Linked DNA regions of Drosophila melanogaster. Changing the gene in region 1 together with any one later gene gives a genetic interaction. Each region holds a gene or a part of one and is shown on either strand. Other genes may lie near its edges.

Region 1 (16,207 bases):
TTTGTTGTAGTCAAATTAGGCGAAAACGAAACAAACAAAAATCAGAAATATAGATCGAATGCTATGGCGCACGTAAAGCGGTATCGGAGGTCGTCTAAGTCCTCGGAGGAAGGCGACCTGGACAACGAGGACTACGTGCCATACGTACCGGTGAAGGAGCGGAAGAAGCAGCACATGATAAAGCTGGGCAGGATCGTGCAACTGGTTTCGGAAACGGCCCAGCCCAAGTCGTCAAGCGAGAATGAGAATGAAGACGACTCGCAGGGTGCGCACGATGTCGAGACCTGGGGACGCAAGTACAACATTAGTCTGCTGGACCAGCACACAGAACTGAAGAAAATTGCCGAGGCCAAAAAGTTGAGTGCCGTCGAAAAGCAGCTGCGAGAGGAGGAAAAGATTATGGAGAGCATTGCTCAGCAGAAGGCCCTTATGGGTGTGGCAGAGTTGGCGAAGGGGATTCAGTACGAGCAGCCTATTAAAACAGCTTGGAAACCGCCGCGTTACATTCGGGAAATGTCGGAGGAAGAGCGCGAGGCCGTTCGCCACGAGTTGAGGATCCTAGTGGAGGGAGAAACCCCCAGCCCGCCAATTCGCAGCTTCCGGGAAATGAAGTTCCCTAAAGGTATACTTAACGGCTTAGCGGCCAAAGGCATTAAGAACCCGACCCCAATCCAAGTGCAAGGCCTGCCCACTGTACTAGCCGGCCGCGACCTAATTGGAATAGCCTTCACTGGGTCTGGAAAAACGCTTGTCTTCGTGCTGCCAGTCATCATGTTTGCCCTGGAACAGGAGTATAGTCTGCCTTTTGAGCGTAACGAGGGCCCCTACGGCCTGATCATTTGCCCGTCCCGCGAACTGGCCAAGCAAACACACGAGATAATTCAACACTACAGCAAGCACCTCCAGGCATGCGGAATGCCTGAGATTCGTTCCTGCCTGGCCATGGGTGGTTTGCCGGTCAGCGAGGCCCTTGACGTCATCTCACGCGGCGTACATATTGTGGTGGCGACCCCTGGTCGTCTAATGGATATGCTGGACAAGAAGATCCTTACGCTGGACATGTGCCGGTACTTGTGCATGGACGAGGCTGACCGCATGATTGACATGGGATTTGAAGAGGACGTTCGTACGATATTCTCTTTCTTCAAAGGCCAGCGACAGACACTTTTATTCTCTGCCACCATGCCAAAAAAGATCCAGAACTTTGCTCGATCAGCTCTCGTGAAGCCTGTCACAATAAATGTGGGTCGCGCAGGTGCTGCGTCAATGAACGTCACCCAACAGGTTGAGTACGTTAAGCAAGAGGCAAAGGTGGTATATTTGCTGGACTGCCTACAGAAGACCGCGCCGCCCGTGCTCATTTTTGCTGAGAAGAAGCAGGATGTAGACTGCATACATGAGTATCTGCTGTTGAAAGGCGTGGAGGCGGTGGCTATTCACGGCGGAAAGGATCAGGAAGAACGATCGCGGGCAGTCGATGCTTACCGCGTGGGCAAAAAAGATGTGCTGGTGGCCACCGACGTGGCATCGAAGGGCCTGGACTTCCCTAACGTGCAACACGTTATTAACTACGACATGCCGGACGATATTGAAAACTATGTGCATCGTATTGGCCGCACAGGTCGTTCCAACACTAAGGGATTGGCTACGACGCTGATAAACAAGACTACCGAGCAGTCGGTTCTGCTCGACCTGAAGCACCTGCTAATCGAGGGCAAGCAAGAGGTCCCGGACTTCTTGGACGAACTGGCACCTGAGACCGAACACCAGCACCTGGACCTGGGTGACTCGCATGGCTGCACCTACTGTGGTGGTCTGGGCCATCGCATCACGGAGTGCCCAAAACTTGAGGCTGTTCAGAACAAGCAAGCTTCAAACATAGGACGTCGCGACTACCTATCTAACACCGCTGCGGATTACTAAACCACTACCACCACCAAATTAAAATAGTAATAAATAGATTAGTATACATACATACTTTTCTGGGAACTTTTAAATTTATTTTCACTCTGTTTTAAGTTCAGTTTGCTGCTTATCGCACGAAGCTTTGCTTATCAATCGTCCCAGCAACCCCAGAGAGCGATCTCGGCCGGACGCGCGCGCGTTTCGGGCTTAAGAAAAATATTATAAAAGCGAAGACGAGCTTTGGCTTTCGTTTAGTGTCTGAGGCAGAGCTCTGCATGCTTGTCGTTCGAAGCGCTTTTATTCAATCATCGCACTGGGATCGTGAGAAATTGCGCAGATCGTATTGACTTACAAGTAAGTGTGCCCCAAAAATTAAATGATGTTTTATCAGCAATATGTAATAACATCGCCCAGAATAGTAGGTTACTCTAGTATAAAGTAAAATTCAGACTAGCCTAAATGATTTCAATTGAAGGCTGATTATATAGACATTAACAACTTTCAAAGCTATTATTTTGCTGAGTTCATTTCGTTAAATTGGTCGTTGATTTGTCTTATCTACTGCTTTGAAAACAATCATCGGAACTGAGGTCGGTTTTATATTAGATAAGCCACTAGCTTTTTACCAAGCTGTGTGTTCTTGAAAAAATAAATTCATAACACTGTATAATATGATCAAATTAAATTGATGGTACCTACAAAATTTGGTTAATTTATCTCCGTTAAATTATCCCCAACTTCATTGGCATTTGGATTGGATTTGAATAATTGGATACACATTTGAATGTTTAAATGTTACCCATGCGCGCGGTTTGTCCAAGAATCCGTTTGTATGATTTTGGCACTGGAAAATGGGTAACTGCCTTTATCCAACCAATTCAAGCTGGTCCAACTTATGGCCGGCTTCGGAATATTATTCCGAACATGCTGTGGCCCATCACTTTCATTTCAAATAGGTATCATTTCGAAGTACGTATGACGTACTCCTGACTGGCTCCCAAGCCTTTACAAATTGGAACTAATGTGCTTGCCGACATAATTTAAAAATCTTATATGATTCCATCCCATACTGAGTTCTCAATAAAAACTGATTTCTTTTTTTTTGGCTGTGACCCAGTTGCAAGGAAGGGCCAAATGGGCTTGCCGCTTGACGAAAACAGTCGTGATCTCATACGCAGGTGAAACTAATTAACTGAATGACAATATGCGATTACACGCTTGCGGCACTTTTTTTTTGCTCTCCTTAACATTATGCTCTGATCAAGCAGCGCACTCGAGATACAAACATGATATCATACAAGAGAGGAGCTGGTGAGCAGAACAACTTTTCGGGAAATATTAAGTATCATTTAGCATTCTACAACTCACATTTAAGAAATCCATCAGGAAGTTTAGCTTAAACGAGTTTGGGGAAGCTCTTATTGTTGAAGACAATTATTATTATTTAAAGACGTTGTTTTCTGGGTGGCTGTATATAACATACGCGTACTTGTTGGCGGTTAAACATCAGTGCTCAGCGATTCGTTCGAAAATATTAACATCTTTCCTTCTCTTATTGCCCTGATGATTCTCTTACTTGCAGTTTCCACACACTCTGCTTAAATCTGGAAGAGCAACTGCCGCTGTTTGAACTAGAAACCAACGCTACGACAAAAATAAAGGCCAATACAAAAGATCGCGTACCCAAACACATCGGGCATATACGCTATTTGCGACTCACAGATACTTATCGCAACAATAAACAAAGCTCCTCGGAACCCTCGGTCGTCGACCAGAGAAGAGGCAGACTCGAAATGGATGCCTCCGGCGCCGCCACAATGGCAGTCCTCTCCAGGTAATGCAAGCGAGCAGTTCGCTGTCCAGAAAGCTCTGGGGTGATAAGTACTCAGTTCCTGAATTTTAACAAAACTTTAGCAGTCGTACGCGACATCGCTAACACCAATTCGAGAAAACAGCCGTTTCAAATAGAGTAAGTGCGTAAAAGTGGCTGCGGTGTGATTCAACACCCGACTTTTGTGTTCATTTCTAGGTTTCGCCAGGTTTGCCCCATGTGGCAGTTGTGGTGTGCCTAGTTTGTGGCCTTTTATGGTCATGACTCACATATAAACAGTCGGATGTACTATTTAGGTGTATCTAGTTTAATTGCGCTGAGAGAGAGCACAATTTCATGTCTTGAACACCCTACAGAGCGGTGTATCAGTTGGAGTTGCGCGTAATTGTGAATAGAGTGCCTGAATGTTGTAAGCCATATCCACCTATTGTCCTTTTTCCCTGAAACCTGTATTATCCAAAAGAAAAGTCGCTTTCGTGTAGCAGACTGAAATCTTTCTGGTTCAAAAAATATAGTTTCGGTTGTGTTTACTAAAGAACTATCGAAGAAAACACCTGTTTAATATCAAATTTTGTGATACCCTACCTGCATTGCAAAGAAGACTTTTCGGAACGCATCATTTGGATAGAATAAAAACTGATAAACTATTTTGCGTCGGGCTGAGAAACGGACGTGGCTATAACAACTTGTTGGTGATACTAATCAAGAGAAAACCCTCATAGACTCGCAAGAGTCCTTTAGTGGAATATATATTTTTTTAGAGTAGTTCTGTTATCTTTGGTCAATTAAGCTGCCATAATAGCTTTTTGCTTGTCTCTTTCAGCCTGCTTGTGTTTTTGGCCCTCTCGTCCAGTCTGTGCTCAGCCGGCACCCTCAACGCCCGTCCTGCGTTTCCCGTACAATCCGGCGAAATTCAGCCCAGCGGCCAGAACAGCAAGCAGGCAGCCAGACGCGTGATGCATCCTTCCTTCGCCAACGCCGGCCGTACTCCCGGCCTGGAAATCTGGCGCATCGAGGTGAGTCAGATTTTGGGATTTAGTTGTTCTCTTGCCGGGTACGGGGAATAGAATAAATAAGCGTAAGTAAGGAGCAGATCGCGCTGACATCGATGGGATAGGTGCGGTGCTTATGCAGTGGCACCCAGAAGGCTGGGAGAGAAGGGTACGAAGGCGGAGGGATGGCGCCCGATACGCGCCAGCTCGAGATCGGCAGACATTTGCTTCTATTCTGGAATTCGGGCAGTGTGGCGGCCATGTGTTTATAAATATACATACATAATGTATCTTTCCCGAGAAGATATATGGAAATTGCTTGTATACATTAGACGTCTGATCCTTCTTGTTAATTAACTCCAACATCGGCCAAATTTATTAGGTTCGAGATGCGATGCGTTTGTGTACAATCAGGCGATGACCAGAATAAATGTTTATACCAAACAGTCAGACATTTTTGGAAATTATCTTCTCTGGAAATCAGGTAATAGTTTTTTTTATCTTTTCAGAATTTTGAGCCCGTTATATATCCCAAAACTAACTACGGCAAATTTTACACTGGGGACTCGTTTATTGTTCTTAATGTAAGTATGCATTTGAATTGTTAAAGTTTTAATTAAACGCGTGGAGTGAACTGCTTGGTTAGCAACTGGAAGGTTTTAACCTTGTCAAAGTCATGTAAAAAGGCATCTGTGCTTAGCTTAGTAATAAACTTTACATTTTTCTGCAATACCTCACATAAACTTTTCCAAAATCGAATCATTATGTTCATTTAGACAATTGAAAACAAGAAAGACAAAAAACTGTCTTGGGATGTGCACTTCTGGCTGGGATTGGAGACCTCGACCGATGAGGCCGGAGCTGCAGCTATTCTCACCGTCCAGTTGGATGACTTGCTGAATGGTGGCCCTGTTCAACATCGCGAGGTGCAGGACCACGAGTCCCAGCTGTTTCTGAGCTATTTCAAAAACGGTAAAAGTAGTCAAACCGATTTGGACGTTTCATTAAACTGAATGTTGTTGTAGGCATTCGCTATGAACAGGGCGGCGTCGGAACTGGCTTCAAGCATGTAGAGACAAACGCCCAAGGAGAAACACGACTATTCCAGGTCAAGGGCAAGCGAAACGTGCGCGTCCGACAGGTGAATCTTTCCGTGTCGTCGATGAACACGGGTGATTGCTTTATTTTGGATGCCGGCAGCGATATATATGTCTACGTAGGCTCCCAGGCCAAGCGCGTTGAGAAGCTAAAGGCTATCAGCGCTGCAAACCAGATCAGGGACCAGGATCATAACGGACGAGCCCGTGTTCAGATCGTCGACGACTTCAGCACTGATGCCGATAAGCAGCACTTCTTCGACGTGCTGGGATCGGGCTCTGCTGACCAGGTGCCCGATGAGTCAACTGCTGACGAAGATAGTGCCTTCGAGAGGACAGATGCCGCAGCGGTTTCTCTCTACAAGGTCAGCGACGCCAGCGGCAAGCTGAAGGTGGACATCATTGGACAAAAACCACTCACTCAGGCTATGCTCGACACTCGCGAGTGCTTTATTTTGGATACTGGATCTGGCATTTTTGTGTGGGTCGGAAAAGGCGCCACTCAGAAGGAGAAGACGGACGCCATGGCCAAGGCGCAGGAGTTCCTACGCACCAAGAAGTACCCGGCCTGGACCCAAATTCACCGCATCGTAGAGGGCTCCGAGTCCGCCCCATTTAAGCAGTACTTTGACACCTGGCGTGATGCTGGAATGTCCCATAGTCGCCTTATTCGCTCGGCTCTGGGTATCGGCTCCGATGAATTATTAAACGATGACGAAATCGACTCCGTGGTGACTCAGCTAAAGAAGAGCGGTGGTCGTGCCTTTGGGTTCATGCCGGATCACGGTCAGAACGTTATTGAAACCATCACACAGTACGTTGCAAAGCCTGGTTCCGATGAGATCGTGGTCAGCACCGTTCCCTTCGATGAGAAACTTCCTCTTTTGGGATTTGCCTCTTATGTGCTCACTTACAACTACGAGGCTAACAACGGGGACACTGGTTCTCTAACCTATGTGTGGCATGGAGTAAAGGCCTCTGCTGCCGCTAGGAAACGTGCTTTTGAGGAGGGTCTAGTAGGTTCCAAGGATGGTCTTCTTGTCCAGACCAATCAGGGCCACGAGCCGCGCCACTTCTACAAGATATTTAAGGGGAAGTTATTAACATCCTTTACTGCACTTCCGGTGACGGCGCAGCTTTTCCGCATTCGCGGCACCGTCGAAAGTGATGTTCATGCTAGTGAGGTGGCCGCCGACAGCTCATCTTTGGCCTCAAGTGATGCCTTCGTCCTTCATTCGGGAAAGTCCCACAAAATCTACATTTGGAATGGCTTGGGCGCATCTGCCTTCGAAAAACAAGCAGCGGTTGATCGCTTTTCTGACTACTGGGACGACGTTGAGCTCGAGCAGGTGGAGGAGGGTGCCGAGCCAGATGAGTTCTGGGAGGAATTAAACGGCGAAGGCCAGTACGACCGCAGCTTGGGTGACGATGGAGCTCCACTGCTGGAGTCGCGCCTTTTCCACTGTCATCTGAGCTCTGGTGGATTTTTGAAGGTTGAAGAAGTTGCTCAATACGAGCAAGAGGACTTGGACTCGGACGACATAATGCTACTGGATGCTGGCGATGAGATCTACCTTTGGGTTGGCTATGGCGTGTCTGAGGAGGAAAATGGGAAGCTTCTGGACACGGCAAAGGTTTTCTCGTTTCCCACCATCGCTTTCTATCACGTCTAATTATACGTCTTTTCTTGATTTACAGCTTTACTTTAATTTAGAGCCTACCGCCCGCTCCTTCGACACGGTGAGCATCATTCGCGTCCCCCAGGGCAAGGAACCAAGGGTTTTCAAACGCATGTTCCCCAACTGGGACGATAATTATTGGCAGGTACGTGATCCAAACCAGACCTAGAGTTTGTCTTCGTTTAACTGCTTGCTTGTACAGTAAGCTGATTACTAATGCTGATGGCCTATTCTCTTAATTGTAAAGTCGCTACACAATAGATTTATATAATTTCTATGTATTTTTAACCCTTTTCTTGGTCTCGTAGAACCAGCCCAGCTATGAAGACATGAAGCAACTTGTTATTGATGCCAACAATGAAGTCTAAAACCAATGATTCAATTCTCAGCAAAATTTACCAAAAAATATGTTTGTTTTTGCCTTTCTAACACCTATGTTTATCTAATATAACTTTAAAATAAATTTCAATATGGCCACTGTTTAGCACAATTTATTTTTACAATTCACTAGTGTAATGTTGTAGCAATGTATTTAAATATCTCCTGTGAAAATAGTTGTTGGGCTAGATTGGTCCATATACATACACACAGATGCCATAGGAAGAATCGAAATATAAATGGAAAGAATATACCATTTCTTTTAATATATATTTTGGCTTAAATTTCATCAACATCATACAAACCTGATGTAGGCATCTGTCAGGCCCAAACAGTAAGTTCGATCCAGTCCAAGAAAGAAGACACTCTGGTGTAAACTGATGGGTAACTACTGCGGCAGAACACGCCGTATGAGGTGATGCCAATTAGGTGATAGTGTATTCTATGCCCTCGGCGCCGACCCGGCAAATTCAGTTGTAGGGGTCCACCCGAGTCCCCCTGGCAAGTGTCTCTGTTGAGAATGTAGTCCTGGGCGCAGATCTGGCTTTCCAGAACTCCACTGGGAGTTTCAGCAAGAGGCGGCAGCTCGGCGTTGCACTCAGCGTTCGGCACTACGGTCAGGTTAAGATTTGTGAGGCGGTTCGTCATGGGCTTGGCGAAGCTCGTTGCGCCGTACCCCATTGCGAAGGCTATCGTAGTGGGCAGCTCTGGAAAGACCCACAGGCGGACAGGTCTAACGTATTCCGTCAGTCTTAGAGAATCGTGTTAGCAAACAGCGGTCGCACTTCTGTCTTGTTGGGTACCCACTCCACTTCCTTCTCCAGCTTAAGTAGGGCTATGTCGTCATAGTACATCTTTTTTTTGTAATTTGGGTGCGCGAACACTTGCTCAATCCGAAGCAGCTGGGCCTCCACCGACCGCTTCTCGGAGGCCAGGTCAAGGTCCCCGATGCGAACCCACTTGGGGGGCGCCCTAAGAGGAAAATTACAGTCACGGGACTGGGGGTCAGGGGGCTAACTGGCATGCTCACTCGTATATGGATGTACAGTGGGCTGCGGTAAGCACGAATCTCTCGCTTATCAAGCTGCCGCCACATTTGTAGTCCACTTGCCCTCTGTCCGACTCGAAGCCCACGGCAGCCTACGAAAACAGATTCGAGGGGCTTGGGTTAGTTCCTCAGTAGAGGCTTATCAGCTACCTAGTTTCGTACCATATGTGGGTACTCACCGGGCCGGGCCAGGACCCGACCATCGAAGTCTGCGTCGTTGGCATCGGCAGCCACTGCGGTATCATTGGGAAAGATGCGCTCCACATATTCGGAATATTCTTGGTGATAAACTCAGTCAATGACTCACGAACCATCGAATGGCTGAACACTCGAATTACTTACTTTGCTCGCAGAGGCGGCGTTGCTTGTTTTCCTTCTTTTTAAAGCCCCCGGGGGGCGGCGGAAAGGGCTGGCCGGGCATCGGCGGCGGGGGGTATTGTCTGGGCTTGGGCTTGGGCTGGGTCGGGCCCTCCACCCGATCAAATTGAAAGTCTGTTATGTGAAACCACATCTTCTCCTCGGGCTTGCCTGGTCCCGCGTCTAACTCCGGAAAGACTATGTCGCGGTCCACGGGAGAGCGGATCGAGTCGTCTTGCAAGGGGCGCATTCGCCCTTCTGGGGGCAGGCGCTGGGTGTGAGTATTGCTCAGGCACCAGAGCCCGATAAATGATATCAGACACACGGACAGATTGCGAAGCATCGTAAGGGCTCTGCGAACGCGGCGAGTGTCAAGAGCAGACTAAAACTTCTGCGGGTCGGTTAATCCCAAAAGGCACGCAGCTCTGTCTTATCAGCGGGGCTAACAATCACAAATACAAACAATTTATTTTTGACGAGCATTAAATGACAATTCCAAGGCTTGCTGGGTTGACGATATTGGCCGTCAGTGGCTGATGAACCTTAGTGGTGCCGCCAATTCTTTCGTACTGCGCAATAATTGCCCGCTGAATATTAGCCAAATCCCGATCATCTTTGTAGCGCAGCACGGATACCGTAGGAGCATTGTCTGTGGCGGCAGCGGGGGCTGATAGAGCGATGGTCACCAGGACTAGCAGGATTATGAACTGTGTGGACAGCGATGGGAGCCATTAGGAGCAGTTCCGCTCATTAATTTGTGCATACTTACGTTGAGTATCTTCATTTTGTCGAAAACTCAAAAACGGACTAAGCCTTGCGCCCTTGCATACATCTCTTTTATACAAAGCTTAAACAATCAATGCGTGCACTTACAGAAAATAATATTTTAATTTTTGAAAATCAATGTGTGCCGTTGCATAAAAATGTTTTTATTTCACTTTTTATATTGACTCAAAACCCAATTTAAATATGACTCAGATGATATGGGTTCATAACCAAGCGATTTAAATTTTCTATACATGTTTTGAGTGGTTAAAACCATTTTTTACGACATCAACTTATAATTAAAAATTATAAACAGTTAAATTTGAACTATACATTTTATAGTGCAGTGTATAACATGCTTACATAATTAAAAACCTAATGGGATCCAGTATAAAAGTGTTCAATAAATTGATAAAATATTAAGTTGAAACATGTATTCTCGTTAGGTGTGAACCTGTGATAACTTGCTTTGATGAACTTGAAACATGTATATATTGTATATTATGTACATATATATATATATACAGTGATTATTCTATGTAGCGAATTTTTCAATTCTCAAGAGAAATATTCTTAACATGAACTATAAAATGGGTAGTTCTGTGAATGTTTTCTTTTTGTTAAAAATCGATTTGCTCTTCCCCTTAGAGTTTACTGTGTGCTCTGTTGGACGCAAAACAAGTTTTTCAGTTATTTTATCAAAAACAGCAAGCATCTGATGACACTTACCAAAAAAAAAAAAAAAAACTCGCTTTTCAGTTATATGGCCGCCGGACTGCTTTTATATGACACCTTTGTGAATATTAGTGGCTTACTTATAATGACTTAAAAGTTGTTTAGCAAATAGGTGGTTCAAATACGCGAATGTTGTTTCTGCAGTACATTAGTTAATCAACTAATGAACAAAAGGTTAAAAAATGGAAAAACGATAACAAAATAGTCGGAAACTTTACTTGAAGAAATATGAATTGAAAGTATATGTCGTGAAGTGCACATTTTTGTTGAGGAAGAAGTTCGCCTAAATGCATAAAATGACAAATACTACAATTAAGTATCAGAGCATTTTTAAAGTAACATTCGAATAAAGAATATAAAATATTTAAAATGTGTTTAAATTATCATTACAAAGAACACTAGGAGAACATTTTATATGGCATGTCCGCACAAACTCTCAAAGCTTTTTGTTATAATTTATAATGTTACTTCTTCCTTATTTGCTCTATAATATGCAATGAAAATGGGCTGAATTATCAAATAGGCCTACGTCTCCCTAATTTCAATAGATTTGCATATTCTCCATCTTACAAATGATTGCTTGCATCAGAAAAGCCACTGGAACAGTAACGTATAAAAGCGTCGACCAAATGTAATCTTCGGCAAAGGAAACCCATCTGCCGAACTGCCCGCACAAAAAATGTATTTAGCCACCCACAAGTAGATACAAGTATTCACGATGCGCATCTTTCTAGTAAGAACACAAAGCATTTATTCCGCACTTTGTGTAACCATCAAACAATTTCAGATTCTAAGCCTCTTTCCTATGGCGCGAGGGAAGTACGACTACACTCCAGTATCGTATGCCGGTAATGGTCACGGAGGACTGATTGGCGCGCCCAGCTTTCTAAGGCTATAGCACCCGCCAGCGAGTTCACCAAGGAGTTCTTCACCTACAGTGCTCCAGAGCACGAATTTGATGACCACCCCAACGAGCAGATCGCTCACTTGATAAAGAAGAACGTGCTTGTGTTGTTTATCAAGGATCCCGATAACAAGGGACTGGAGCAGGCGGCGCTCCAGCTGGCCACCTCCGCGTCCGCCGACCGCATCGCCATTTACGTGCTCAACAAGCAGGAGAACATTGGCAAGTGGATCACCAACCTGAATACTATCCGTAACAACAACAAAAACCGCAAGCCCGAGGTTCACTTTGTGAAGTATTGAACGCAGAGCGACGCGAAGAACGCCCAGCGCACTATCCAAGCCCAGTATGACTTGCTACCGGGAGTTTCAACCAACTACAACGGTGGAGCCTCGGTCTCCGTCTTGGACTTTGCGTCTAAGGTCATTTCAAGTGGAACTGACGACGGGAATGCGTTCGTTCGCAAGGTAAACGCACCGTCGACAAGCCCGTACTTGCCACCTTCTCATGAAAAGTATTAGTTTAAACGCAAAATAATCAGTATAAGATATAACCGAAGACATTAGTGCCTTTGGTATAACACTATGTTTCAATGTCGTGTTACCGGGAAAGGAGATTAGCCGTGACTATATGCAATCATTACGGACGTAGTCCACGTAGTGAAAAAGAATGTGCCACGGGGACCACAATATGTATAGGAATCAATGATAATCTGTTTTTTCTATAATAATAATTTGTGCTAAACAACTTTATTTAAAAAACATAACGGCATTTTTAATTCTATGCATGCTTAGATAACGTTTTTTGTACCGACAAAACTGTACAGGCCATAAAATTCCCCTTACTTATGGTATTTAATAGTCGTAAAAACAAAAAACAAAAAAGAATGCTGTAGTCGAGTTCCCCGACTATCAGATACCCGTTACTCAGATCAATTCACCACTTTTCTGGTATTTCGATAGATATTGGAGAATAAACTGAGGAAAAATTTAATAAATTTAACAAGGCAAAAAGCTGCGTCTATGTACATGATCTCAACTCTCTAGCCTCTATAGTTCCTGAGATCTCGACGTTCATATGGCCGAGTCGATCTGGCCATGTCTGTCTGTTCTATAAAAGCTGGATGGATTAGATCAAACACCCACAAATCGCCAAAAGCTGCCACACTGTTCAAAATTGTAAATAACATATTTTTAATTTTTTCCTGCCAATTTCGATGGGTTTTTGGCATGTTGTTTTGCCTCCACTTTAACGCTAACAAACCGCCCAAAAAATGTTGCGATTACTCGTTCGCACTCCCTCTAGCTGAGTAACGGGCAATTTATTTCATTTCGTCAAATGAAAACTTGATTTTTGGAATGTTTTCGATTGAAACTTAAAAACATCGACTCGCCTAATTAACGCTCAACTGCCGACCAAAATTCGCTTTACCACACTTTATAAGAATATTTATATTACTCGTAGAGTTAAAGGGTATACTAGATTCGTTGAAAATTATGTAACAGGCAGATCCAACCATATAAAGTATATATATTCTCGATGAGGATCAATAGCCGAGTCGATCTGGCCATGAACGTCTGTCCGTTATTTCCATTACCGTTATTGCCCATTATTTCCAATTACCGTTGTGCAAGTAGAAAACAATTGAACTAGCAAGTAAAAGCATTACCCATAACAATAGTATTGTTAGCATGATTCCAGGTTGGATTCAAGCCATGAAGTGCTATATTTCTGAAGAACTGAGCATATTTTCACAAATATCTTTGAGCTTATTGGTTTTTCTGCATTTTTGAAAAGACTTGTTTAATAACAAATTCATTTATACAACATCTGCGACAAAGCGAATTTTATATGCAGATAGATCGCTTCCCACAATTTTGGTCATGAATGTGTATAAATTGGGTTTCCGTCCATAAAACTTACTTTCTTCATATTATCCCAGTTTTGTCAATCGAACCGCTTTACCTATTAATATTTTGCATATAAATATATTCAGCGTTGACAATGGGGATCTCAAGCGATTATTTAAATTTGAACGCAGCGTTGGTCGCCAAGTTAGATAAGATCCCGGACTGTTCAAGCAGTGCATCTGCGCACACGGATCTGTGATTTGGCAACCGCCAATGTGAAACGTTACATATTCGAAGTTGTGAAGTCTATAATAGATTCATACGATTTATGGTAGTGCCTAATAATTTTTTCATTTATTGGGAAAACGATGCCAGCCTGGACAGATATAAAAACATAGCAATGGGAAGGCAGGGCATCATTCGACCCTAGCAGCTCAGACAGTTCAAAGTGAAAATGAAGCAGTTCGTTGTTCTAATGGTAAGCAACTGGCACATGAGCGATCCCCGCAACAACTAACACTTAATGTGCTCTTGCAGTGCCTGGTGGCCCTCACAGCAACAGCTCCTCAGGGATACAAGTACCAACCTCAGCTGCCAGCCCTTCCCATTGGCAATCTTCGTCCTCTGACACCCATTTCGTCAAGTGGAATATACGCAAGTGGCGCCGTCCCATCTTTCCCACAGGCCGGTGCTCAGCCCGCGATCGGTGTCCAGCCAGCCATTCAAGCCGTGCAGACCATCGTTGCCGCTCCTGCTCCCGCCCCCGCTCCCGCTCCTTTGTCGATCTCACTCCCAAAGGAGACTTTCCTTACTGCTTCGCCCCAGCAAAACCTGATCAGCACTGTGCAGCAGCAGCCTCAGCAAATCGTGTACCAGCAGCAACCGCAGCAAGCCCTTCAGACCCAGTTCGTCCAGCGCCCCGCTATCGTTACCAAGGACATTTACATCCACTCCGCCCCCGAGGAGAATGAGGAACTGCGGCAGGACGAGCCACTTCTGGAGAATGTGCCCATCCGCAAGAACTACCGGATCGTCTTCATTAAAGCGCCTTCCCAGAATCTGAAATATACCGCCGCGGCCCTGAAGCGGGCCCAGTCAAGCAACGAGGAAAAGACCGTCATCTACGTGCTCTCTAAAAAGCCCGATCTCACTGAGATCCAGCAGCAGCTGCAGGTTACCCAGTCTGAGGCCAAGGTTCAAAAGCCGGAGGTCTACTTCATTAAGTACAAGACCCAGGAAGAGGCCCAGCGCGCCCAGCAGGAAATCCAGGCCCAGTACGACGCCTTGGGAGGTGCAACCCACATTTCGGACGAGGGAGTGGCTCCCATCGCCAGCGTTTCGAGTGGCTCCCTTAACCTGGGCAGCTTTGTGCCCCAGCACTCCCAAGCTGGCCAAACCATCATCCACTCTCAGGCGCCAACCATTATCCAGCCACAGGGTCAGCCCATTGTTCAGCTGCAGTCTATTAACCAGGGGGTCCAGGGGGTCCAGCAGCAGAGCTCCTTTGTGCAGAAGTCCACCTCCTCATTCGCTCCCTCGGCGCCATCAAGGAAGTATGTGCCGGCAAAGACTTTTTAAAAAGTTGTAGTAAGAATCCTATCGCTTTCATTGTTTTATATCAACCATCATACTGTAGTAAATTTTAATTTATTTTTAATGCAAAAGTCGAAAGTCGAAAGAAATATAAAAAAATTTAAATCGAAACCCAAAAAGCCTTCTGTTTCTAGTACTCGTTTTTAAGTTTAATCCTTTTAATATTTTAGATAGGTTTTGTTTTAGGATTTGGAATTAATCTTTCATTTAAGGCATAGCTTGAGTTTAATGTTTCTTATGAAAACGCTGTTTATTTTTATCACAAAAATGTTTCAATGGGCTAAGAGACTATGACAATGACTTCTTTCTCGCAAGAAAGTTTGGACCATCTCTTTTGGCATTAAGCCAACAGCCATAATAATCAAGTTTTCGTGTGGCTTAATCGTTGTTATGTAAGTCAAATCACATGCTAATTTATGCGACCGGTTTTCGGCTTGGATGGCTGTCATTGGACTAATGGATGTGGTAACATGGTCCATAGAAAACTATTTTGTTACTTTGAAGTATTGAAACTCGATTTCATATTTGAATATGGCTGCAGAGTCGCTTTCTATCATAAGGCGGAGCTCAAAATATGAACTTTATTTAACTAAATGTGTAAATTACAAGAGTTCAAGTCTTAAAATTACGACAGTGGCCTTGGAGTTGTACCTAAGCACGCAGATTAGTTGGCAAGTAGCTGTTTGGCAAGGAGCCAGAAAACTGTCCGGATGAAATTCCGTTGTTGCGCTGGTTGTCCAGTACGCCAATCACGGATGTAACGGGTGCAACTCCCTCGTCAGAAACCTGTGATGTTCCGCCAAGCTGGTCATATTGAGCTAAAAGAAGTAAATCGGTTAAAAATCGGGTAATAAAAATTTGGACAAGCCAGATTAATTGGTCGATAGACATTTCTATGAAGCTTGCAAATCGAAACATTTGAGGTCTGTTGCATACTGATGAGGTCTTCAAGTGTGTCTCATAGCATCTGCTCGATGCGGGTGTTGCTCACCTTGAATGGTACGTTGCGCATGCGCAGCTTCCTCCTGGGTCTTGTATTTGATGAAAAATACCTCTGGCTTGCTGGGCTGCTT
Region 2 (16,873 bases), on another chromosome or scaffold:
TAGGTTCTTTAACACATGAACATATATAGTACTCATACAATTTCTACACTTCCTATAAAAACTTTTTACAACATTTTTCACTTGATTATAATACCATCACAAGTTGTTTACCTCGTATCACAGCGCATTGTCTTATTGTCTAATGTCTGATTGTGATTATGGTTCTGATTAGGATTGTCCTGCCTCTGGATGTGATTATCGAGATGGTGATGTGGGGGGTGTCCGTGTGGATGGGAGTGCTGATTTGCCGCCGCTGAATGAACAAATCCCGCTGTCATTTCGCTCTCGCTTTCCGTTTGGGCAACTCGCGCACTTCTTCTCGGCGCGAACATCTCACGCCAGAAACATCTCAAACGCAACTAAACAAACAAGGGCCAAGAAAAATAAAAGCTTTTTCCGAGCAACCCTCTGTTGGGGGTCCTTTTTGGTCCTTGAGCGGAGAGTGGAGTGACTTCTTGGGACTCGCTTCATTTGGATGAGGCGAAAGTGAAAGTCAAAGTCCAAATAACATCCCTTTTTCGACTCAAAGCCCCCCGCTGCCTTATCCACCCACCCATGTAGTATCATCCCAAAAAAGTGCGTGAGCCCAAACATTTTGAGTGGGAATTTCGAGTGAGTCTGGGATCTGAATGGACGGACTTTGTTTTGGGGTTCATCTTATGGCCCACAGGGTGGGTGGCGGCCATAAAAAGTCGCCCACTTCCCCGGCTGACTGACTGACTTACTACGTTTCGGAATCGCTCCCCCAGGGGCCTCCATATATTGTTGGACTTGGACACACGGGATGCCGGCTTTGGCCAAAAGTAAACAAACGCACTTTTTTTTCTTTCACAGTCTTCCCATTTTGGAGACTTCCTTTTGTTTTGGGCTCTGCGTGCGTGTGTTGCTGAAACATTGTTGCGGGCACTTTGGCGCGTTTTCTCTTGGAGATTGGAGATTTAGGGAGAGATTAGCAGAGATTAAGGGGGTTTCCCGTTAAGCCCACCTTGTTACATGTCAACAATGAATGCTGATGGGCCCCATGTTGGGCGCCATATCATAGGCGATATTTCTTAGAGGTTTTGTGTCTGCTTATTTTATGATCTGTATTATCTAGTAGAAAGCTTAAGATACTGAATGGAATAATGAACATGCATTCGTTCGTTTATTGATGCGTTAGTTATTGATCCTTGTTTATTTAATAAAAACATTGCAAGTACGTTTGTCAGAGAGAGTTTTGGCCAAAAAGCAATGTAATTAAAAAAAATTATGGATAAAAATAAACCTGCATAATTTATAAGCAAATAGGAAACAATTAAGCTATCTGAATATCCTGGAGGATTTTACATTTAAATTATGACGATTCTGTATCACTAGTGGATATTAGCTATGAAATTTACTCTTCTTTCAGATTCAACTTAATACACTAAGCGTTTATTTCATTCCGCGGACCATTTAAATTAGATTGAACACTTTAACACATGGAAGATCACTTTTTTTCTATCGGTCAGTTTTTGTAGATATGTCCAAGGGTTTTGATTTCAGCACTGGGAAAATCACTTTGTTGGGCCATTTTCCGTTCACAATTCAACCCAATCCCTTTACTTACTTGCTCTGGTCAACGACTGGCTGCATGGCCCACCGGCTGCCCAGCGGCTCCTCCTTCAGCGAGGTCATCGGACCGCGCGGCTGGTTCATGTCCACAGCGGCGGTGGGCGGCAGGCCGAACATCAGGCCGCCGGCGGATCGCGGACCGGAAACGGCACTGGGGTACAGCTTCCGGCCCCACTCCATGCCCAGCTCCAGGGTGGGCCAGGGGGAGGCCGAGCTGAAGCCCGGCACCGGCTCTTCGGAACGCAGCTTGAAGCCGTCGGTGGCGAACGGATGGGGATGCGGATGTGGATGCGGATTCGGATGGTGCGAATGCGAGTGCTGGTGGAGATCAGCGTACGCGGCTACGTCTCCTCCTAATCCTGCGCTGGAAATTGTGGCTGCCGTTTTGAAGGCTCTTTGCTAGGCGTTTTACTGTTTGTTTAGTTTTTTATTTGCGTATTGTATTTATAACTCGATCGGTTTGCGGCGTCGTATTGGTATTGGGTTCCCTTTTCTATTATTTTGGTTCTTGGTCTCCGGAGAGCTGGCAATCAATCGCGAAACGAAAGTGAGACAGTCTGTGTGTGTGTGTGTGTGGGTGTTTTTGGGTGAACTGGCCAATGCACCGTAGAGAATTTGGGATTTTCGGAAAATTGGTCTCGCAACAAGTTTGAGCGGCGCGCGCTACCGTCCCGAGTGGCTGTTAAACCCCAACTGAATCCTTGCCAAGCGATGCTGCTGCAGCAGTCGAAAAGAAGCGGCGGCGACGGCGCAGCAGCAGCAGCAATAGCGGCAGCGACGCAGCAGAGCCACAAAGGCGGCCGTAGCGAAAGAAGCAGTAGCAGTAGAAGCAGGGTAAAACGGCAGGCCAACGAGAGTTTCGAAAATGGAAACGAAACGAGTCTGCGCCACTGGGAGAGCGGAGAGAGCGTGCCGGAGGGGGTGGGGGTTGGCGGCAGTCCAATGGCCAATCCCGTGGAGAGACGCAAAGCTGTCAGCAGAAAAAAGAACCCACCACCATCCTATGGCATCCTAATGGGAGCGAGCGGGAGCGAGTGAGAGCAGCCCCCTAGGAACGGTGCGAATGGAACCAGCGCAACGACGTCCCCAATCGAAGGGGGCGTGTGTCTAGGATCTCGGTTTTGGGATCTCGGGTCTCCATTTCAGCTTGGCTTTATTCTCTATTCCCAGGCACCTTCGGTTCAGCTCTTTTGGGAAACCAAAGTGTCAACGCCTGCAAAGACAAAGCCAAAGGCAGCAAACACAAGGCACCGAAAAACAAAACACACAAGCCAAACGGTAACTAAAACCCAAAACCAAAACCAAAATCTCTGGGGAGCCCAAAAGGCAAATGCCATTGTGTGCAGTGCTCAAACCTGATTGGCCAGTTGGGTGTGCGATTTCAAGAGAGAGCGTCGATTCTCTTTAGCTGTCGGCAAAGCAGTTCAAAAACCAAGCAGCGCATAGCTACGCGGAACGGCGGAGAAATAGTGGAACTGCAGATTTGAATGTCGAAAAATATTCAGTCGTGAAAATGGAGAAACTGCAGGCATAGGTCCCTCATTCAATTTAAAATTTATTTTTATTGTATAATTATAATTAGAATTTTTATTTAATTTTAAGTATTGAATTCTTCTGTGACTTTTTAGATAAAAAATAACACATTAATACATTTAATGATGTATCGCTTTTCTATTACATGTATAACGAACGTACATAATTACATTCATAATGTTTTGCGATATGAAGTTATAGTTATATGTACGTAAAGGCAGTTGTAATCCTGTTGTTTGTTTCATAGTTCACTTTCTTCCCTTTATATCTTGCCTTTTGTTTTATAAATTTGTTGTAAGCACAGACTTGATTAGTCATCATTTTCGGGTTTAACCCTTCTGACTTTCGCACATAATTTAGGCAGAAGAAGTTGTCAAACAGAGTTGAGTGCCTATAGGCATACCCTTCGCATCCAAATGCCTCTTCCTCTTTCTCTTCCACCAGCAAGGGATTAGTTACCGGAACCGCCCACAAAATTTTCACGCCTCGTTAGGAGAACAAAAGGTGAAAAAAGGTCAGGGGATGGCATTGGTTTTTGAGGTTCTGGGTTCGCATGAAAAACAATTTGCATTTTCCGCATTTGCGGTTTCTGCCTGTGACCGATTGAATGGACGAGGGAAAGAGAGAGAGCTTGTTTGACTTTTCCGTGAATTAATTTGGGGGGGCGTGGTAATCTCATTAACTTCTGACAAGGACCGAAAACTCCGTTAACCACAAGACGGCAACTCTTTTTCCCGAATTTTCCCCACACCCACACTTGTTGGTCTATTTTTGAGAAGTTCTGGAAACATTTCCCCAGAGCTGCTAGGTCGCACAAAATTTTATGTGTAAATCAAAGGCGAAAAGAGCAGACTGAAGATGTCCCCAGACATCGCTAATTAACCAAAATAACCAGAAGGAAATTCCACGCCCTTTGACAAATAAATTTTCTTTTTCGGCAAAGGTGAAGAAAATTCCCCGATCCAAAAGCTGTGGTCCGCGTGTTCGATTAACCCCTTTTATCACGCCCAATCCTCAGTGGAGTTTCCCGGCCGCGACAGCTGTCATGGAACACCATGACCCTTTAACCCATGCCACCCCCTTTCGGTGGCGATGCCCCCGGAATTTGATTCAAATTGTTTACAATTGGATTTACATGGCGCCGGACTAGCGCACTAGCCAATTGCTAAATAATTTGTTGGTACATTCTCCGCATTTGATTTTTACCCAACCCCTATGGTGACTTAGGGGATTACGGAGGGTTGGGAGAGTGACAATCGGAAGGACTCTCATCGCCACAATTACACATTTTGTCAATTAGCCAGCGGCTTGACTTTTAAACATAAGCGGATTTGTAGATTTTCGATATTTAAAAAAATATAAAATAAGAAATTAAACAACACACATTGTAGAAGTCAATCAAATTTTCAAAAGTTAGTGTGACTTTAAGTTCACTTATCATAAAAAATGTATTTAAATAGTGTATGTTTACATTTAGCTCATCAAATGCAAGTTTTATGTGCCCCCATATTGGTAGCATGAAAAGAAACCACTTCTATTTCCGACTTCCTTGAGGAAACCCTCATCCTTTTCCCGCGACATCACATCCTGCGCCATCTTTAAAGAAACCATGAATAATTCCAATATGCAAACTGACTCGCATGTAAATGTCCCATTTGTCACTCGTAAACAAAAAAAGGAAGAAAACGAGAAGGATCTCAACTCCGTCCATATGCAAGACATTCACAGGGTCATAAATAAGGGCGAGCGAAGGAAATTTGAGGCGCGAACATTTTAATTAGTTTCCAGCTCGCTCTCGAGTGTGTCCTTTGGTTCCTGGGGCCAGGACACTTATGCAAATTACCCCGGTGCCCCGACTAATGAGAGGGGCGAGAGCGGCTAACACACACCGTGAAAATAAATCATATTTAGTTACAGATGGAGTGGAAATCATTGCTTGATTTCCACAAGTCATCATCGCCACATCATGCTCGTGAGTTCGGGGGAATTTCGGTCTATTCTCCACGGACTGCGACAGATGCCAGCGATTCATCCAAGTACGTATGACATTGTTGCATTGTCTGCCGTCCGAAGACCACCAAAGTTTTCGATTCCTAGGAATTTTCACCAGCCAGCCAAAACCAAGCTAAACTACCCACCCAACCCAAATGCACTTGCCGCATTTTTAAAGCAAGTGCTCAAGTGTTTGCCACTCCATTTCGAGGGCAGCAAACTGGACTCGAGTGGCACGTGGCACGGGTTAAAAAAGCCAAGTAAATTTAATTAAATTATCTCAAACACGTGTTTGACCAACTGCAACGATTTTGCCAAAACAATCGCAACCAGTTTAAATATTTACCCAATATTCACGGCCTAAACGTTCTCATGAGGGTAACTTACTATGCAGCTATGTGTGTAGGAAAAAGGTTTCGTTTACATAAGAATAACAAAGGGGGATGGAGTCTTCTAAAAATACAACAACCTTTCTACAGATTTATTATTCCAACAAACAGAAGGTGAATCGAATCGTATGGGCTAGGTGCACAATTTCTTCCCACAAAACATTTTCGCACATCGCAACTGTGCGATGGGAAAAACTCGTTTATCAGTCGAATAAAAATCGCAAAAAATCATAAATATTTACAAGTCTCTCGCTTGGCGATCTCCGGCGTTCGATAAGCATTTTTGTGGCCGGTGAAAACAACGTGGCCATAAACATGAAATTATTTTTCAGTCTGGCCAAATATGTGGAATCCAACGCATCAAATGCGAGATTGGAAAAGTGCGGTTGGTTCATTAACTTTGGCGCGACCAAAGATCGATTTGTGGCCAAAAATAGTTAGCCAAAATACACAAAAATAAGAGAAGTTAAGGAAACTTAAGTTGGTTAAGCAAATCAATAAATTCAAAGAGATCTACTTGATTTAAAATTGTACATACTTGATTTGAAGTTGTATGTTTTCAAGTAGTTTGCATTTAATCAAATTCCAAGTTGAAGTTTCCCCAAAATATGCTGTAAATACTTCGATGTTAACTTTTATGAGCTGCTTGTCGGCGAAGAGGAATTCATGCATCTCATTTGGGGTTTTAGTGCAGCTCCCCGAGGGGCAAACCCTGCCCATTTTCCATTTCCCACTCCTCGGCCACCTGGAGAAGCGTGTCAGCATTGGGGATCCTCTGGAGAACCACAAAAACGCGAACCCACTCCTCGCTCTCAAGTAGTAGAGAAATTGTGGAATGAGCTGCGACACATTTACTAGATTAATTAGCTCATTTACGGTTGACAATGTCCGTGTTAATTCCCCAAGAATTAAATGATAACATCATACGAAGTGGACGAAAAAGGTGTTCTACGTGTCAATGAAATGGCTTGGCAAATGCTCGATGACACTAATACGTTTGTTTGTAGGGGGTTTTCTCTTCGTTTTTTTTTTTTGTAGGGGTAGTAGTATCTGAAGTGCAGACGATTTGCATAATTCGAAGGACCAGCAAAGGACGCACCCTTCGCTATCCAAACGCCCAGCTAGTTTGAACCACTCACACCTTCCCTGATCATCTTTTCTGCACCCCATCTTTATATGTTCCAACTCCCCCTTTTCCGAATACACAGACGGAAAATATTCATTAGTTATAATAAATTAAGACCAGAACAAAGGAAAATATATTTTAAAATACTAGAATAATGCTTAGAAACTAAAGAACTGCAAGATCTCGCTTGTAAAGGGTTTCCTAGTTTCACTCAAAAAATGTTGCAAAGATCGAAAATCGATCGTGTAAATCATAGGTTATATTAAATTTCTCTCAGTGCACTTAGGCACAAATATAATTTGACTTCATTATGCGAACAGTTGTTGCCTTTAGTTTTGGTAATTTATTTCAATTTTTTCAGTCCTCCGTTGCTCGAGACTGCCGTGGGCAGTAAGGGGTTAATGCTCCTGCAGTGCAACCCCTGTAATAAATAAATATCTAGGTCCTGCAAATGTTCATTTAACTGAAGTATGTGTGTGTCTGTGTGTGTGTGTGGGGAAAATGTCTCAAATGTTTTGCTGCCGCTGCCATTGTTGCAATTGTAATTTGTTTTTATTGTCGCTTGTTGTTTGAAGAATGAGTATTCCGGGTGTGGCCATAAAGATGATTCTCTTTAGTCACATCAAAAATGTTGCTAGGCTAGAAAAGAACTAGCCTATCACAACATGGATGCCAGCATTCCTAATTAATTTTTGTGAAATTTTCAAATCTCATCGGACCCCCAAAAAGAATGTGGAAGGAAGAAGCTGGCAGCAGGACTAAGGAAATCCCGAGGGGGCGACCTTTTTGGCCTTTTTGGTCTCAGTGTCGGCCACAAACAAGCTGGCTAACAAACAAAAACAAACAAGAAAACTGGTAGCAGAATAACGGTACCGGTCTTGGGCGTGTTTCGATACTGGACATCTGCACTTTTGGTCAGACATTTTGGAAAACAAGGATATTGACATATTATCTTCGTCTCATTCTCAAAGGTTTCTCCGTAAACTTAACAGCCAATCCCATTCGCAATCCACTCGAAACTTCAGTTTTGTGGTCCTGCTCTAAAGGACATAACCATGCATATAAATTTGATTATTATTAAGTCGGGCACATTAGTGAGCATTTCTAATGAATGGAATCGAGTCGAGCAGATCCTTGTGCCCGAAAAAAGGGTCAGCCCACAGACACACACCCAACCACCGTCACATACGAGCTTGTTAAAGCCAATTTATAAATACTCAGGTTTATGGTTTTAAGTACTTAAATATTTAGCACACTTCTTGGCCTCAGACTGTAGCTCTCCCTCTCTCTCTCTCTCTAAGGTTATATACACCTCTCTTTCTCCACGTGTGTGAGGCTTTTATTTATAATTTATGCGTCCGCAGGGCGACACTCATTCGGTTGCGAGTGGGTGTGGGCATGAGTGCACTCATTAAGCAAAGGATGTCCTTAAAGGTAAATGAGCAAATTTAATTTAAGCTTTATTTTTACCATATTTTGGTGAATGGATACAAATGCTCCTTAAGATCTATTAATAATATATATCTTCTGATATATGCACCATTTTTGTAATACAATAGTAAGTATCACTCATGATTAATAACCGAAACATCTTTTCCCCAATTAGGTAACACAAAATGAGCAAATTCAATCGCGCTAAGTGCTATATAGACCAATTTCCTCTTTTCAACCGCCCCCAATTCAAATTTTTGAAGAACATTATGCGCTGCCATCGAAGTGACCTGATTAATGAAGCCATTTCGATTCCGTTGTTCAGCTTAGCGATTTCAATTATCGGACATGTTAGGCGGGGTTGCACTTACCAGGGGGGGTGGCTGGTTGCATGGGCGGTGCAGACGACCGCCGATTAGCACGTGCCACTCGTTCCGAGCAAAATCGCAGGAAGCTAACCAAAACGCAAGGACACGTGGCAGGAGCGCAGCTTCCAAAGATAAACATAATTATGCAATACGAGGGGGAATAGCAACGGAAAGTTGGCCAATCTGATAACACGCAACGAGATTTGTCATCATCAAACAAAGTGGGCGTGAAAATTGCGGATGAAAAGCAGCCAGGGGTTCTGATCGGCAGGAAGGAAGCGACGATGTAAGGATGCAAAAAGGACACGACGCAATGCTTCCTGCCCGGATGCAATCATGTCCGAGGCGTGTGCGCGAAATATCCTTTGTTTGCGTTTCCCAGGACTCGGAAAAGCGGTACGACAGTAAAGCAGTCGGAAATAATTGCACAGCAGTCAGGATAATAAAGATACTCGCGGTCCAAGTACATTATCGAAATTGATACGCCAGCTATACTATCTGGCGCATATGCTAGTCGAAGTAGCTATATATCCTGAGGGGGCGGAGTAGGCTGGCTATTCCAATTCGCGATTCAGGTCGCGTTTGTTCGCCACCAACCTCAATGCATTTCACTTTGTCGTTGACTATCCACATACACTGCGATAAAATAGCACATCTATTCTGTGGATAAGTTTTCTTTAGAGTAACAAGTTACCTATAAAAGAGTCCTTTAAACACATTCTTACTTAATCCCTTAACCTAAGCAAACTAGGAAATTAGCTAATTATTTTCCAGTGTAACTTCAATTTGTCTGACCATCACGTAGTTCATCAGGCAGCCTTCTTTCAGCCTTTTGTCCTTGTTTCGCATTAAAGTTTCATTTGGCCGAGGCCACTTGGCATGCGGCAGCGTCACTTTTGACCTGGCTGAAAGGATACTAATCATAGCACTGCCTCCATGAGCAACGTTCTCGGCACATCCTCATCAGGCTGATTGCGAAAAATCACTGGAGAAATCAAGCGAGGTTCGTGATTCCATACTGACATATTTGGTGAAGTGGATTTGGAGTGGTTTTCCCAACCCACACATTCAAGTGACAATCACAGTCAAATTTTTTCGACTCTTTTGTGTATTTTTAGGCGAAAAAACAGAAAAACCATGAAAATCAATTTCGCTTGAGGGAGGTTGAAGCTAAAAAGCATATTGTCATTTGGTCAACCCACACCAACATATCTGAAACATTAAACAGATTTGGCCTTCCGATTTGGTTATATTATTTCCTTCAGCTGTTTCAATAATTCATATTTTTCGCTGATCCCCAGAGAGATGCAGGAAAATTATTAACGAAGGCCAAAGAAAATCAAATTGAACTTTATTTGCTCTTTAAATAGTTGGTTTTATATGTTTTAAGTTGAGTGTCGATAGCAGGGAAGTGGTAAAAATTTAAACAAAATAGTTGGCCGTAAATCAGACGGAAAGTGAGGCCAGTTTTGGCACTTTGGCCAGGATCTAATACCCATGTCCTGTTTGGCGATGAAAAAGGGGGCGGTGCTTCGTGTCCCAAGTCGGCTGTCAAACATAATCACCTTGCACCCCCCCCCCCCCCTCTCCATCCCAGAAGTTCTATTCTCAAAGGAAATTTATGTTTTTTATATGGACGGCGGAGCAGAGACAAAAGTCTGTGTGTGAATGAAATATATTATTTTGCTTTTTACCCGCCCTGCTCTTTCATTTTTTAACACATTTTGTAATTTCAACACGTTGCCACGTACCGCAAAAGTTTCTTCCACTCCAAAATGTCCACCAATTGCAATGCCGCCTGTCCACCACTCGGACTCGGACTTGGATCTGGACTCGGATGATTAATGGTTCCGGGTATTCCGGGACAGGCTCCGAGTTGGCTGGGCCAAATAATAAATCGTTCAAATCGGCTGGGGATTATTTTTCCTAGTAGGCGGCGGTCAGCATTTTGCTCTGTCACCATTTTTGCGAGAAAAAGAATGGAATTTTTCCTTGACTTTTTCGTATTCAATATTTGTACATATTTTTGCCAACGAACGTGTGCGAAATTCAAAAATACTTCTGCACAACAAATGGCAACAAATTTGTGGATTTCAATTAGATTAATATAAATCTAAGGAATTGAATTTTTTCATGTGTTCAAAAGAAAAAAAACGGAATTAAGGTGGTAGATTGGCTTAAGTAGTGCGTGAAAAATTGGTAATATTTTACTGAAAAAAGTACATATGTCTATTTAATTGTACTTGTTAGAAATACCCTACTTCTATCAGCAAAACGTGCAAAATGTGTATATGCAATATAATTTGTGTTGCACAACTTGTCTTCAATTATTTCTTGATTGATCAAAGCCTTAGATTTATTTTAGGCAATTAAAAACAATAATCCCCAAATAACCGGTTAATTGAAAGGATTTCCTGGAATATACATATATGATAATGTAAAATTAAATAACAAAATTTGTTTTCATTTCGTCGAGCAAGATCAATCGAAAATCCCATCAAAACCAGTTTTGTTTCAAACAGATGGAGCGGTAAAACCGAGCGAGGCATAATATTATTAAAATTCACAAAATATTATAATTAGTGGACGCATGCCAGCCATTAAACAAATGAGTATATATAGTTTAGCTTTATGATCGGCAATGTATGTATAATGCATAATATTTCTCTGAAACTCCGTTTGTTAGGTGTTGGCCACGTTGTAATCAGGTTATTGCCCCAAGCCCAAGAGAAGAAGTTCGAGAAGTTCTTTATTGCCAAAAACACGAATCGGGTCAAAAGCAGAGCTCAAGGCGCAGACTGGGTACAAAAAAAGTACAATAAGAAAAAGCGAGGGCACTTGGCCAATTTACACGAGCTGGCCAAAACAGTTTGGCGTTCGAATATATAATGCGAAATACAAATAAAGTGAAAACAAACAGAACAGAAATTCCCCGTTGGCGCTTCGCTGCTTCGTCATGTGTTTATTTCCCATAATCATTAACTTTTTGGGTGGATTTATATGTGAGATAAACTCTGCTGCAGAGAGGGGAAATTAACTGAGAGATGTGATAGTATTTAACCTTATGAATCATTGAGCCTAACTTTACGTTTATGAGCCACAGCCAGAGGTTTTAAGAAACTTTAAATGCCTGCCTCTTGTTTTTTTTTCTGTATTTGTTTATTGTTCAGTCTACCTACCGGTGGAGTTATTTGCCCAACTCTTCTGCCTGTTTGACGGCTTCTGCTTGTTCTTCCAGCTTTAGATGATAATGATGTAGATGGTTCGCACTGCGTCAGCATTCGAAATTTCCATATATAAGCGCTAGGGAGCCGCACCGCGAGCTTAGTCGTTTTGGAACTTTTCACGCGTTCGCTGCCTCAGTCTTTCGTTTCGTCTTTGTGAGTGCTTAACCGCAGATAGGCCCCTCTGCATACCCCTAACCGCTGAATTAACCCTACTAAGTGACGAAGTGTGTGTTCTTACAGATCCATACCGCTTCACAATGAAGTACGCTGTGATTGCCATCGCTTTGTTTGCGATTACTACCGCTTCGGCCTCTTCCGGTGAGCAAAAAAGCAAATTTGAGTATAATTTGAGGAGAGCTTAAGCCGGATTGTGCACTTACATCATCGCTAGTCGGAGCTGCTATCGTGTTTATTATTAATTGAATTAACAAGTCGGTCGACGGGTGCTAGTATGTTAATAATACCCAAAAACCTATCGAACCCATCCGGAAACCCAAACTGGTTTGTGAAATTCGCGTAGCTCATTAACTTTGCGACAATGTTTGTCCAGCAAAACTTTCCGCACAACAAATTCGCTTTTTATTACGATTCCTAAAATATGGCTATTCAAAATCAGCATTACGTTTGATTATTCACGCGATCGCTGAGTGGACAAACTTTCACACTCAAAAAAGAAATTGCCATTGTTGAATGTTTGAGATTTATAAGCATACTTTTGGGATTAGCATTATCATAAAAAACTTGGAATAAATCTGCATGGTATATATGCTAAGTATATGTAATTATTCAAAGGTTTTCATAATATTAAAAATAAATTCAATAGTAAAAGTTCATAAAATATTTAATCGTGGTAAATAAGGGCGAGATGTGAACGAAATCTAAGCTTTAAAGCTATATTCATAGATTTCAGATACTTATCGCTGAATTCATTGCTCTTTATTCATACAGCTGGCCAGTTTCTGCCCCGTGCCTTCTTCACCTTGGACTCGGAGGGCCACCAGTCGAATGTCCATCCCGTGAATGCCCATCTCCTGAGGCGTCTGCGTCGTCAGTCCAGTTCGTCTTCCTCGTCATCATCCTCCTCGTCCTCCAGTGGAGGAAACGTCTTCACCTACGCCTCACACAGCGTTCAGAATGCCGATGGCTCCGGTCATTCTGGCTCCTCTTACACCCAGCAGGCCGCTGCTCCAGTGCTTGGGTGAGTTAACTGGAAAATGAGGACTTCTATTGATGATCACTAATGATCGTTTTAATTTCCAGTGGTGTGTCCTTTGATGAGCGTTTCGGCGAGAGCTCCTTAACTGGAGGCGACAACTATTATCCCACCTACAATGGCTACACCAGCGCAGCCTCCATCAGCAGCAACAGCGGAGTAGGAAGCACCGGTAGCTATCAGCACATCTCCGGAGTTGGACCCATTCCCGCCACCCAAATCCAGCAGACCGTGGCCGTTGTCGATGCCAGTGGCAACCAGAAGGTGACCAACATCCAGGGTGCCACCGATTCCAACGGCGTTCTCAATATCAAGAAGACCGAATCCACTTACTCATCCAAATAGAACATAGGTTTTTTTTCGAGTGTAAACTTTAATAAATTACAGTAAATTAACTGACACGGTGCCTTCTTAACAGGATATTTGTTATGAACTCAGAAATAAGAGCTCGCAAAGAACTTTGCTTTTTTCGCTTGCCATTTGGTTTGTGGGATTAATTGCTTCCAATTGGGCGCACTGCCACGCCCCTTGCAGATGTCGCAGTGTATTCATTGCGGTTTCCGCATCTGAAGTGTTCTTTTTTTGTTTTGCCCACTCTAGATGATTGCATCCCACATACCATATCTTAAAAGTTCCATCCTGTAACCTGCATCTGCATCCTATATCCTTCATCCTCTTTCACTTCGCAGCAAAAAGTGATGGATGTTTCGAATGAACCAGGGGCGTACCAGGGTTTCGGTTCAAGGGGATCAATACGAATATGCACAATGTAGTCAGTAGAGTTAAAGAATCGAAAGAAAATAATTAAAGATGTTGCCTTTTAAAAACCCTTTAACCATCACAAAAGACAAAACAAGTTACAAAACATTAGTAGCACTTCCGAAATGTTTACTTGACTTATAGGAAATTTTCAATAATGTTAGTATATTTCAGAATTTCATTATACCTTTGTTTAGTTTTTTTACTTTCTATAATCTTCAAATATATTATAAATCATCGCAGGTGTTTCGTGACCCCTTTTTATCCTGCGTACGCCACTGTCAGTTGGAAAGAGATGGCGATATGTGCCGAGTGCTTGCACCGATGAGCACAAACAATTGCCGGTGGGCGTGTGGGGGTTAATCGGGCGTGTTTCAGGGGGCGTGGCAGGCAGTGTTGGTAAATGCTTTTAGTGTATTAGGGCAGCCAAGTGGAACTTTACAGCCTCCAAGGCTGTTAGCGATGATTAAAAAACTAGTGCACTCTAAGACAACAAAAGCGGTAGTGACAAAAACTACTAGTTTCACCACGAAGAATATGAAACGGGGAAAATACGTAGAAAATGGCGGGTGGCGATGTTCCGAACAAGATGTGAATATGGGATTTGCTTGGGGAATTGCCGAAATCTCAACAGGTGCACGCACTTTTGAACAAACAATCCATCTCTCTCACACTCACATGCCAAATGCTGTAAAGTTTGTGGTAACTTCGGCGTGATGAAGTGAGCGAGACAGGGAATGCTGAAAAGTTTTTAATTATTATAATTAATTACTTTGATCTCTGACTGGCAACTCGCTCCTTCTCGCTGCTATTAATTTACTTGATTAAGATGAGGTTTTTCCCGGCTGCTTTGTTTAAAATGTATCTCACATAATTGAGAAAGTGTAATGAATTTACGCTTTCAGCGAGATAGATTTTCATTAGAGCATGGTTGGCATGTGTGGAGCACGGATAAGGGTTAATTGTGGGAGGGCCACCAGAAGGTTAAGAAGTTGAATAGATTATTCCATCATAAGTACTGAAAACTTTCAGCTTTGCATAAATTATGATTAGCCTTAGCACAATTTGGAGTTCCGTGTTGAAAATAATGTATGCCAGTGTATAGGTACCTTAATTGCAATATTTATCATTTATAAAACTAAGAAGAATTTCTGAAATTACTAAATAACTAAAATTAGTGAATGGCTCATTCAAGTCTTAATTGCACGACTCAACCTTTGACTTAGCCACTCTCCCAATTCAAAATCAGGTTTTGGCTATGATGTTTCTCTTCATCCTCTTCTACCATTCTTTTCATTCAAACTCATAGCAAAATATTCTTAGAAATGGCATATCTAATTATACACTTCAGACAATACCAAGCGAATTATAAATAAACCTTTTGCTATCGTAGTTAGTTAGCTAAGGTAGGTAAGCCATGTGAGCCCTTGTAAGTACATCTAGAGTCAAAAGATTTCCGTAACCATGTTTATCGGCCTAATTGTAATTGTTATTATTAATTAAGCTGGTTTTAAGCAGTGAATAATTAGTGGCTTTTGCGGTCTTCAATGAAAGCTTAATTCTTGAGAGCTAGATAAAGAGGGAAATCAAGAGAACATGTTTCAGTTGGCGTGCTCTGAATTTTCGATGAAACGGTACTGTCGCAAAAAGCAATTCTTCTGCTTGTTCTTGCACCATTCCAGTTGAAGAATCGCTCGCTGATTGATGGGGAGTCAAGCGGAGACAGCGGACAACTTGCAACAAATTAAGCTTCTTGTGTGGCCAAGCGTTGCGGTAGATCGACGCCACCTGGTCAGGTAGCCACCATCACCACCACTGGCATCACCCTGCCTCTGTTCCATCTACGCTAGATACACTTTAAAAAATGTTGGTAAGTAAGATGGGATCATTTAATCAGCATTCTATTCTTTTGCTTTTATCTTAAAGAAACTTCATAATACAAATTTATATTGTTAGTCTTTTAGGCGATTTTACCCATAAGCAATGGTTGCACTTCGACTAGGTGTATACCATTTTTTTTTGAGTGTATCTGAGCATAACCCCTCCCATCACCGTTCCGATCGCATTGGCAAACTTCCACGGAGTGACCACCGCCGGCGATGCCTAAATTCAGTTGGACACGAGCGCCAATGCAGCGATCAAGTGACATTTTATTGTCGGCAATCCTTGCTTTGCCTTGTGCTTTTTCGATGCTTCTGCTTGTGCTTGTGTGCTCGTGCTTTTTGCTTTTGCTGCATTTGCTATTTAGAGGCATGAAAGCAGCGACGGATAATTGACAACAGTTAATTCCATTCCATTGATCGCTGGAGCGTTGAAATGTCGCAAATTTAATTATTGAAGCCGCACGCTGCCAGTTCCACGGGAATCCTCAACTGACTGTGGGTGGGCAGAAATGCCAGTAATCGTGGGGCATGGGCGTCATCTAAAATGATCCAAATGAGGGTAGTATGGTATTAAATTATAAGATATTTTTGAGAACAACAACAGTTGGAAGCAATTCGGAATTAGATGAGAGACGACTATATCCGAAATAGTTTGAGAATGATTAATGTATATGAATGTGCTAAGTTGCATGTTATTATCCATTTTCATGGTATCCATTTACATACATCTATTAATTCTATAATATATATTTATTTTACATTTTACTGTAAGATATGTTTTAGACCCGACTATTTATATTTCCCGTATTTGGGCCACCTTTTTTGCGTCCATAAAGACCGGCAGTCTTAAGCACTCTTTGACATTCAAGCCAAGGCAAACAAAAAAGTTCAGTAGGGACAGGTTGAGAAGCAGAAGGATGTGCAGGTGAGTGCCGCCGTCAAACGAAAGCCAAACAAAACGAACTGTTTCCTGACAAATTTCTGTCATTTCAACTGGAGCTGGAGTAAAAAGCTGGCAAAAAAATGGAAATGGATCTGCAAAAAAAAAGGAGACCAACGATTTGTGCAGTCATCGGAAGCGGAAGCACCGCCAGGATTCCGTGCATCCCCCACGCCCTTCCCTCGTTGACCAAGTGACGAGGACATTCTGACCACGGACTGAGCGAAGGATAAAGGATACAGCTGAGTGAAGGAGGCAGAGTAAAGCGCTCTGTTGACTTAAATCGTTTAGGTAAAGTTAAACAACTTGTTCCGTTAATTGTTAAACAATGCCCAGTCGAAAGGAGGAAAACGAAAAGCAGAGGGTCTGAGAGTTTTCCTCGTTCCCCGGGAGATTGACAGAATCGCTGGGAATAATTG

Evidence for each region.
Region 2: of CG14642 (region 1) and kn, changing one suppresses a phenotype caused by changing the other (phenotypic suppression), as found in Drosophila melanogaster (one study listed by BioGRID).

The regions. Positions count from the first base shown.
Region 1 is NT_033777.3:4,233,066-4,249,272, forward strand, and holds CG14642 (uncharacterized protein), read right to left. Parts: upstream 9,653-16,207; 5' UTR 9,631-9,652; coding exon 9,273-9,630; intron 9,209-9,272; coding exon 9,093-9,208; intron 9,023-9,092; coding exon 8,913-9,022; intron 8,855-8,912; coding exon 8,690-8,854; exon of another isoform or gene 8,634-8,689; coding exon 8,204-8,633; 3' UTR 8,188-8,203; exon of another isoform or gene 8,135-8,187; intron 8,068-8,134; 3' UTR 7,980-8,067; downstream 1-7,979. Other genes in the region: abs (abstrakt), read left to right, coding at 64-1,923; Gel (gelsolin), read left to right, coding at 3,699-3,739, 4,560-4,752, 5,238-5,312, 5,505-5,700, 5,754-7,459, 7,524-7,649, 7,813-7,872; CG34305 (uncharacterized protein), read right to left, coding at 9,770-9,994, 10,057-10,071; TwdlF (TweedleF), read left to right, coding at 13,996-14,019, 14,079-15,119; TwdlG (TweedleG), read right to left, coding at 15,786-15,952, 16,126-16,207.
Region 2 is NT_033778.4:14,796,667-14,813,539, forward strand, and holds the start of kn (knot), read right to left. Parts: upstream 10,396-16,873; coding exon 10,184-10,395; intron 2,291-10,183; exon of another isoform or gene 1,958-2,290; coding exon 1,589-1,957; intron 362-1,588; exon of another isoform or gene 279-361; coding exon of another isoform or gene 112-278; intron 1-111. Other genes in the region: hui (hase und igel), read left to right, coding at 11,917-11,977, 12,608-12,857, 12,920-13,217. UniProt on the Drosophila melanogaster protein: May act as a 'second-level regulator' of head patterning. Required for establishment of the PS(-1)/PS0 parasegmental border and formation of the intercalary segment.